Linked DNA regions of Drosophila melanogaster. The protein of the gene in region 1 interacts with the protein of each later gene in a biochemical or structural test. Each region holds a gene or a part of one and is shown on either strand. Other genes may lie near its edges.

Region 1 (4,672 bases):
TTGACATTTAAAGCGACAGCTGTCAGGTCAAACAAAAGTGGAACACGACCACAGGACCTTCCTTTTAACCGATTAATCAAATATGCATGACCAGAGTAATTATGTTTGATTAATACACCCATACGTACGCATATATACATATACATATATATTTCTTTTAATTATGTCTTCGCTCGGCTGCAATTGTGTGCGATTGCCATCAATTATATTTTTGCTTAACAATTTTCTCCTTTTGTTTGCTTTTGATTTCCTGCTATTTATCAAACATTTGCATAATATTTCATTCATTCAAAATTGTACGCTCAAAGAGTTTCACAAGTAAACAAAAGGGTATTCATAAAAATTTAAATCAAGTAAATATGTCAATGCCAAAACAAATATAATGGACGCGTTTTGTGTTGCACTTCCATTGCATTTTCAACTTTATTGTGCCATTTAAAAAAATATTGCAACAATTGTAAGCTGATTAAATGGGAAAATATATTCAGGTCATAGAGTCATAAGCAAGTTTAATCAGCTACAGTTACTTTTTGTATCAATCCAATTCGATGAATTGTAGGAAACCATGCACATAAAATACAATTTTTTGCTTATAATTTGGCTCAATATTATAACCCTTTTTTTTCTAACGAAAGAAGGGTTATTAATGTCGTTCTGAAATTCTATAAGCTCAACCGAAATATTTTATAGAGTAACCAAACAGCTTTTAAAGCCTATTTTCTGTTCGGCCTACTTCACTTATTTGTATCTTTCGGTTACTCGCATCTTAAAGCAAGCTTATGAATTTCTTTTCTGTGTGACTTAAGCTGATTTGGGCCAGACAATGAATAGGGAAAGTCAAGGCAAAAAAAAAAAAGGTTAAGTACAATAAAAATAATTTATGTATTTGGGCAACTTTCTGACGCGCAAAGTTCCATAATAAGTGACCTTGCTGAAGCAGCGTGTAAATAAAATGTTGTTTTATTTTCTTAGAAAATGTCTAGCATAAAATGGCAATCTTGTCGGGCGGAAAGTCTTAGTTACCTTTTCCCTGAGCTCACAGGTAATGGTGTTGGGAAAGTGGTCAAAGGTGTAGCATCTAAGCATATTTTCTAAGGCAATCTCAGTAATGGAAATTTGTGGTGGATGCCACAGAAATATGTGCCACATGAGTGGAAAGCTACGACTCTTAGTAAAACTGAAAACGAAGGCATTTCACGTGACCTATTTAAATGTAAGCCTTACCCATCGCGAATTTATGGTTCTTAGCAATAATGTTTCATTATAAATAATGGATCATTAGCTAATTAATTTCAAGAACTTAAAAGAGTTTAAATAGGCTTATTAGTATGTTTCCGAAGAACAAAATTTCAGTTCGTAGTAACTGAATCAGGTTTATGTTCAGTTGCCTGATAAAATTTTAATTAACCAACAAGTAGCTCTCAAATACTTATAACACTTATAATATTCCGTTTGTATATTAATTAAAAATAGTCATTATTATTTATAACACCTTTCCATCAGTGAGTCTTAATATAAGCTTTTAGGAGCATAAATTTGGTGTCCTTCCCCCACAACATTTAATAAAATAAGTTGATTGGAATACCACCCACCTGTATGTTTAGGCACGTGTGTGCCCAGAGAAATTCTTGGCATTTTCATAATTAAATTGAGCTAACAATCCAAGCTCCTCCCACCGGCAACATTTTTTCCTGAACAACTTCTAACCACAGCAAAGAGAAACAGCGAAAAAAAATATCACAATAAATAAAAATGTAACCGTACCACCCGTTGGCTTGGCTTTTCCGCCACTGGGAAAACCAACGCACCACCCAAACTCAAACAATGACACATTGGTTGATATGTGTTTTTGTTTTTTTTTTTTTTTTGTAAGGAAATACATGATTATTGGTGTTAACTAGTTAATGAAATTATTGGATAATTGGCTCAATAAAATTAAAAGGGCTCACCTTTGCTGCGCTGCTGTTGTCCTTTGATCCTGTTTTGTTGCAAATTTTTCGATGTTTGGGTTTTTGATAAAACTCAAAAGTTTCGGTACCGAATCTTTATGAACCTTGGAATTTTCGCAGTGCTAATTTTCACTTTTGTTTTTCAATTTTTTATCATCTAAATAAAGGGACTTTAATGTTTGCTTTATCTCAACCCATCAAGGCCTGTGAACTCATTTTATATGCCCCCTTTTTTTCATGTGTTGAATATCTCAGCCGTGTGATTCCCGTATTTAAACCATTTCTCGCCCTTTTTCCCATTTTATGCAAATATTCCCGGTTAAGCGGAATGCGACCCTAATTTATGAGCCCCAAAGGGAAGGCGAAAGAAAAAAGTTAAAAAGCAAAAGTTCAGACGAGGGAAAATCGCAACATTTTCCGAGAAATTTTAAAAGGAAACCCCAAAGTATTTCTTATAATTATTTCTAAAATTCTCGGACCGCGTTAAGAGATATACGTATTCCTGGACGACCTTGGCGGTCTTAAAAAACAAAACAGCACGCGAAGATGAATAACATTTTTTGTGTGAGTTGGCTGTATGTGCAACGTGCAACGAGTGCAACGTTAATATGCCACAGCCGCCGTGTGGCCTTGATAGGTAAGAATTGAGGTGAAGGATCAGTTGGGGCAGGTTCGGTTTTTAGTTTTAGTCTGGCTTAGTATTTTAGTTTGGTACTCGAATATTCAAGGATCGCTGGCACTCTTGCACACTTTATTTTGGGATATTCGTTTCACTTAAGTGTTGCATACTTGATTTTGCACACTGGCACGCAGGTCTAGATTTTCATTTTTCCGTAGATTTCTTCATATATTTCGTTGCTTTCACATTGCGTGCGTATATTTCACATTGGCTCATTTATTATTTACCTTTATGGCACACTGGACAACTTTTACTTTCGACTAGCGCACCCGTGTCCGTGTGAGTAAGCCCACTTGTGCGTGTGTGAGTGGCGTATTGAGGTTGTCCTCCGAACAGGACCTTCCACCGCTTTTCACCGTGAGAACGAACCGAACGATACGACTGCACTGAATACACTGAAAGCCACACGAACGGCGTCGGCTTGAAAAGCCAGGCGACCAGCCAAAGCTCCCATTTTCCTCTTCCCCTTTTTCGGCGAGAGAGCGAGCTTTTCCGCCTAGAACAGTGGGCCAAAATGTATTCATCCTGCCAGCTCACTTCCAGTCGGTCTTCACTCTCACCGATGGCACTTTCGAACTTCCCGAAACATGTGGAGTCTCTTTGATATCCGGCTCTCTTAAGGCAAGCATTTAATGGCCATCTGTTGGCATCCTTACGAAGCCACAACTCTTTGCCCCGCTTTGCAGAACTCAACACTTGCCAATAGTGCTATTTTGTACCACTCAAAAGGGTAAACTACAGCGTTTATTCTTTTGTTTGTTATTTATATTCTCCTTTAAGCAAACATTTACACATTCGTTGTATGTTGTTGCTAAATTATTAGTGGAGATACAGGAATACTCTCTTACTACCATGCGGCACATTTATTAGCTTTTATTGGTTTGTTTTCTGACAGTTTTCTTTAAAGGTCAAAGCTATTAAATAATATTCGTCACATTTCAGTAAATATTATTTCTATCTGGGCATATAAGATAATTCATGTCAAAATAATTGGATTCTTTATAGCAAAGATATATTCTTTAAATTTAAGCAGATGAAAATTTCTTCTTGCTTGGTTGATTCTTTAACTCGTACAATTCGATTTTTGCAAAGCTGTCAGGGATTTAAAAAGGTTATTTAAATTCCGCAATTGCTATCCATGAAATGGTATCCTGATCCAAAGTGGGTGGTTACTGGCCAGGGGAGTGAGAGACTTCTAATAGGCAGCTCCAGACACTCGGCCTTCTTAAGCACTTAGTGCACATTAAGTGCCAGGGATTCGGATTGTTTGCTGCCCAGTCGTTTGGACTCATGCCCAATCCACGGCAGACCCCATTCAGCATTGAGAAGCCCCGCTTTCTTCCCCAACTGCTCCTTAGTCTGCTTCAAAGTTAACTGACACTTACACTTGCACTTCTGTGAAATCAAATGCATTCGCCTTGGGCTTGGATTTGGATTTCCTTTATGTTCGAGCGGGGCTACCCATTTTCAAGAGGCTGGAAAAACGTTTTTCCAGTTAACGGACACTGAATGATTGGGTAGCATTAAACGGGTAGCACTTTTCGGGTGGGTGGGGCTTAAATGACTTAGTGATAGACTTAAATGAAAAGCCATAAAAGATTGAAAAACCATGCAATCGGTCTGAAAGTTTGCATATTAAACCATTCCATTTAAACACATCCACTTTAGAACGCAACATATTTATTAACCAATCCTAGTCCTCGCAGAATTCTTCCTCCACTCTAGCACTTGTACATCAAACGAATTTTGGTCCAATCCCCTTCGGAAGGTCCTCGCACCTGACCCATTTCCCTCTCCACAGCCTTACCACCGATTAGGGCACGAATTGTTGGCTTTGAGGGATCCTTGGCGAAGGCGTTCTTCGAATAGTGCATAACGCTCTCGTAATCGTATGGAACATTGAAGGTGGTTGTCTGATCCATGGCCATGAACTGCGACCAGTATTTCCTCGGGATATTGTCGTAGTCGATTTGCACGTACTCATCGCGATCGGGACGACTCTGCTCGTGGAAAAGGCCCAGCAGGTGAAGGGTTTCGTGTTGAA
Region 2 (5,031 bases), on another chromosome or scaffold:
TACAGGTCGCCTAGAATACCAAAAACGTTTTATGAGCGCACAAGAAGATCTTGGTGTGAAAAACTGGATCTACACCGATGGTTCTAAAGTCACCGGCGCAACTACTTTTGCGGTCGTTGACTCTAACCGTAAAATAATTGCAGGAGGTAGGCTTCCGTCCTACAACTCCATATTTACAGCCGAAGCTTTCGCCATTCTCAAAGCATGCCAATTCGCTTCCAAAAACGCTGGAAAATCTGTTATCTGCACAGACAGCCTCTCCTCTCTTTCCGCTATACGCAACTGGAACCATAATGACCCCACAACACAAGAAGTTAGGCACATTCTAAGTTCTCACCCAAAAAAAATCACCTTACTCTGGGTTCCCAGTCATCAAGGTATTCATGGGAATGAACTTGCTGACAAAGCCGCCCAAGAGATGAGGCTTACACCATCAATCCTGTTCACTCCGTTTAACTCCAAGGACCTAAAAAGTCGAATCAAGTTATACCTCAAAGAAAGGAAACTCTCCGAATGGGCACTCTTCATGCACAGGTACCAGTCTATCAATCCGAATTGCATCATGTTCAAGCCACCAACGAACGTACATAAACGGGAATGCGCGACCTTTATCCGTCTACGCATCGGGCACACCCAATCCACACATCAACACTTACTGACGAGATCGGCGCGACCAACATGCCAACTATGCGGGGACGAGCTCACCGTTGACCATATTCTCAACGCCTGCAGTCAATTGCACTCAATTAGATCTCACTTATTTGGTACACATAGTCTCTCGAATTGTTTAAGTATCCCATCCTGTGAAAATATCTCAAAAATTTACAAATTTGTCCAAAAAGCTAAGTTTATTATATAAAGCAATTAACCCATAAGTCTCGAGTCGAAGGCCCCCGTAGCTAGTACTCATTAAATTTAATTAGGTTTAGTATTGTATACTATATTTAATTTTGTTAAATAAATAAATAAAATAAGATGATGTGCTCAAAACAAGTTTTGTTACCTAACCTAGCTAAGAAACAATGCAATCTGGAGTCGTTGACAAGTATGTATGTAACAGAAGCAGAAGGAAGTGTATAAAAACTAGTGACTAGTCTTACAAGTTATCTTCAAACGTTATAGTTACAGTTGTCGTTAATGTCTAGCTAAAATGTTCCTATTTTTTCAACAACAAAAACTGCCTTAATCGAACTATTGCAACCTATGTAAAGTAAATTAAGTAAAAGTTAAGTCTATTGAGACTTCTGCTTGCTTCCACCTTTCCATCTCCCTTGCACAGTCCTTAGGTGATTAATAAATATCCGATAGTCGCATTCATTAAAATCTTTTTTTGGAAATTTAATTAATATGTTTTAAAAAGTGATCAAGCAAAATAAAGATATATTTTCTAACGTTCGATTTATTTTCAATATGCTTTCGTCTTTCTTTGACTTTTCCTAATTTTTTGCACAAGGTAAGGCTTAAAATATCGTCAAAAGTCGGCTGATATAAATTCTATATGTATTCCAAAACAGCTAACAATGTTATATCCCATTTGAAAAATGATGAAAGCGAACAACCGAAAAACTAGCTCTTGGTAAAACATACAGCCTTTTATATTTCAGCAATTGGTTTCTGTATAACTTTAACTCGTTTTTCTTTTCTTTTAGAATGTTTTTCAACCAATAATAATCAACTGGGCAAAACTAACCACTTATGCAGATCTCTGCGTTTTAAGTTAAGGCAATTGCTCTAGTAAATTTACCAGCTTCTAAATGTTGCTGGCAACATGTTGCCAGAGGACAAGCACTGACGCCTTCGTCCGCCACACGAGCTCGTCCTTCGGAAGCATTTCGGCTGGCCTCGGGATGGCAGGCACGGGACACGGGACTCCACAGTGCCAGGACATCGGAAGTCGGGAAATTGGGAAATCGGGATGGCCGTGCTGCCGAAGGACGAGCACATTGCGCTGGGTCGGCCCAATGCGAAACGCGCTTGGTGCGACAGGTTCAGTGCTCGGGCAACTTCCTAGCGCGTCGGTTCAGTTCAGTCCAGTGGATTCGAGACACGAAAGGACTCAGTTTCAAACTAAAAATTCCAAAGTTTCGAAAACGGGTTTCGAGTGGCGCGAAACAACAACGATACAATGATACAATTACTCTAGCTGAAAGTCGAGAGAAGAGTTTTTGACAAGTGTTAGTTGATTATTTTCAAGTTTTTTTTTAGTGTTGGCCAGTGCTTTGGACTAGTTTCGAAGCTTTGCTTGTTTTTTCGAACAAGGTAATTCTAAGACCCAAAAATTCAAAAGTTTTTCGCGAAGCATACGATGTGAGCTGTGACTGCGTATTTAGAAATTACTACACTAGTGAGGTGAAGCCAATCCCTCGTTTAGTCCTTTACTCCATTGCCCGTCGATCGCTGCCTAAATCATTTCACATACGCTTGTTCACTCATTTGTCAATTGCATTATCGGTGGTATGTTAGCATTCCCTTTCTTTTCTCAGCCTTTCAACCAATTGTTACACCAATCGAGTTGTTTTCTTGCGAATTCTCTCGACTGTTCATGAGTGAATTCCTTTTCAGTTCATTGAATTTCTATGTCCTTTCCGTTTTCTAACATTAACTTTCTTTGTTTGCATTTATGTGAGTCACTCGTCACTCGTTGGAATCCTTTATTCTCGTTTCTTGTTTTCAGTAAATAAAACAGTTGATTTGCCAAGTTGCAAATTAACTTTTGCCAGTTTTTTTTCCCAAAAACAACTATCTTTATACCTTCGTGTGGGGAAAATGTAGTCACCTTTTATGGTCAAAATCATATCGTACATTTTGTCGCATACTAACGATTTGATAAATTGTTTAACATAATTATAAAACTGTCAGCTTGTGTTCTTTTCGTTTTTAATTGTTTGTAATTATATATTTTATATAATATGATAGCATACATTACACATTGCAAAAATTAAGTAAGGTTTTCAATATCTTTTTTAGTGGTTTGTAAGACGATCCGAATTCAATTTTATTTTAAATCCGGTATCCATGTATTGCTTTGAACCCTTTTTGTGTTTCTGATTTCCTTCAAGAACTTTCACCCACCTGAACTTTAAAACCCCATTCAATCTCTCGCTCATCCCTCGCCATCCGCCACCAGTTTGGCACATTCTTGAGGTACCTTTTCTGGAAGACTCCTCCGAAACTTTTTGCCATCGAACAAAAGGCGCCAAAATGAGACTGCAGCATCCAACTAGCAGGCCAAGTTTTTAGTTGGCAATGATTTATGTTTTATTAATATTAAAAGTGATTTATTAGCCATGAAATTTGTGAGCCAACTTGGTCGTTGGCCCTTATTCGACCAGGTGAAGGGAGTGCTGGCTGCATGCGCGATTTTTTAATTACAGATGGAGTGGGACAGGGAGTACTGTCCAGCTGCAGGCTCCATTATCCTTAAGCGCGGACCTGGCCGCTCATTATCCCGACGTCCGAACTTAAGCTAAACTGCTGCACAGCGAGATTAAAATTGTAAATGACAGCCAGCGTGACAGGACAAGGAAGGAGCAGGCATCTGCTCGTCCTTTAATGTCCTGCGCCGTCCAGCCACGCCCCTCTGCGCCCCTCTGCGACCCTGTTCGCAACCATCCGCTCCCCACCCACCAGCCGTCGCATTTTGTCGTGTTTTTAATGAAAATTAATTAATTAAATAACGTTTTTACTCATTCGCATCGCCTTGCCCAGCAATTGTCTTCCCTTGTGCGCAGGTGTGCGTGTGAGGATGCATTTTATATTAAATAATGAAGTGTGTAAAATGTATGCAGTGGCACACAAAAAGAGCAAAGAGGCAAATGAAAGGGCTTTATGCGGCAAATGTAAATTTGGACCTTTTTGGGCACAGGAAATCTCAAGCTTCAAAGTGCACAGAGAAAATTGTAAACGCAATTTTCCAAAATCTTTATTAATGGTTTTTTTTTGGGAAACTTTACTTTGGGAACGTAATTAATTTTATTATTGGTCTCGAATAATCAAAATTTATGTGCAACATTTTGTCATTATATTTGGGAACCCTTTTTGCAAAATGTATACAATGCATACTTCCGAAATACCTAATTTTTTTTGTTTGCCTGTCGAGAAATTCCCCGAAACTTCCCAAAGCCATTGCCAAATTTTGGCATCTCGGTCAACACAAAAAAAGTCATGCACTTCAGTTAGCATTAATTTGAAATTTGACTGAGACTCATCTCGATTCCATCTGGTTAACCGGAACCAAGGCAAGAAGCTTCGCGACTCCTTGTCCGCCGTGTCTAGTGGTTAATCAACTAATATCTTATAAAATCCGAATGGAATCCATCCGAATTCATAATAGAAAAGGGATCTTTGGTTTTGTGCTGCGTCTGGGAGATTGGAAATATTTCTCGATCTTTGTACTGAGCACAGAGGAATTGTGTGCGAGTTCTGCGCCTATGGAACTATTTGTATTGGTCTGAACTGACCCTGAACTGGCTCACATTGGAACCGAAATATATGATGATCTCCAAATTTAATTATCAGAAATGAATTTGAAACACTTCCACATATAAACTCAGTTACTTAGAGTAAACGTAGTCACTTAAAAGAACCTGAGTACTTAATTATAAATTTAAAAAAGGTTTTAAAATATTATTTTTCTAATTATCTTGCAAGCCCCTACAGAACGCCAAAGACATTTTTGCTTGGCGCCCATAAGCCTAGAACCTGTCTGCTTTTCAGATTCAGGCTTTAAATCTTGTTGAAGGTGGAGGGGAATATTTCATTATCACTATCCATTCACATGCCAAAAATTGTTTGCATCCACTCATTACAATGTTACCGTCAAAATAATGTATGCCACATCCTCCATTTACCTAGCCCTTAGGGGTATAATTAAAAATGAGTTCTAATTGAAACTGTAGTTTGCCCTCATAATACATTTACTTTTCAAGCTACTTTGTCTCCGATTCTGACGAACCTTTTGAGACTTTAAAAGGATATTTAAATGTCGGCTTATTGGGTCTAAGCGAAACAAGTTATGTACATATGAATAGA

The links. The genes of interacting proteins can lie anywhere in the genome.
Region 2: the proteins of dpr9 (region 1) and DIP-beta form a complex in vitro, tested with the Drosophila melanogaster proteins (one study listed by BioGRID).

Annotation. Positions count from the first base shown.
Region 1 is NT_033777.3:15,074,181-15,078,852, forward strand, and holds the start of dpr9 (defective proboscis extension response 9), read right to left. Parts: upstream 3,027-4,672; 5' UTR 2,856-3,026; intron 2,107-2,855; 5' UTR 1,950-2,106; intron 1-1,949. Other genes in the region: CG6974 (uncharacterized protein), read right to left, coding at 4,350-4,672.
Region 2 is NC_004354.4:21,454,694-21,459,724, reverse strand, and holds the start of DIP-beta (Dpr-interacting protein beta), read left to right. Parts: upstream 1-1,986; 5' UTR 1,987-2,174; exon of another isoform or gene 2,175-2,259; intron 2,260-5,031.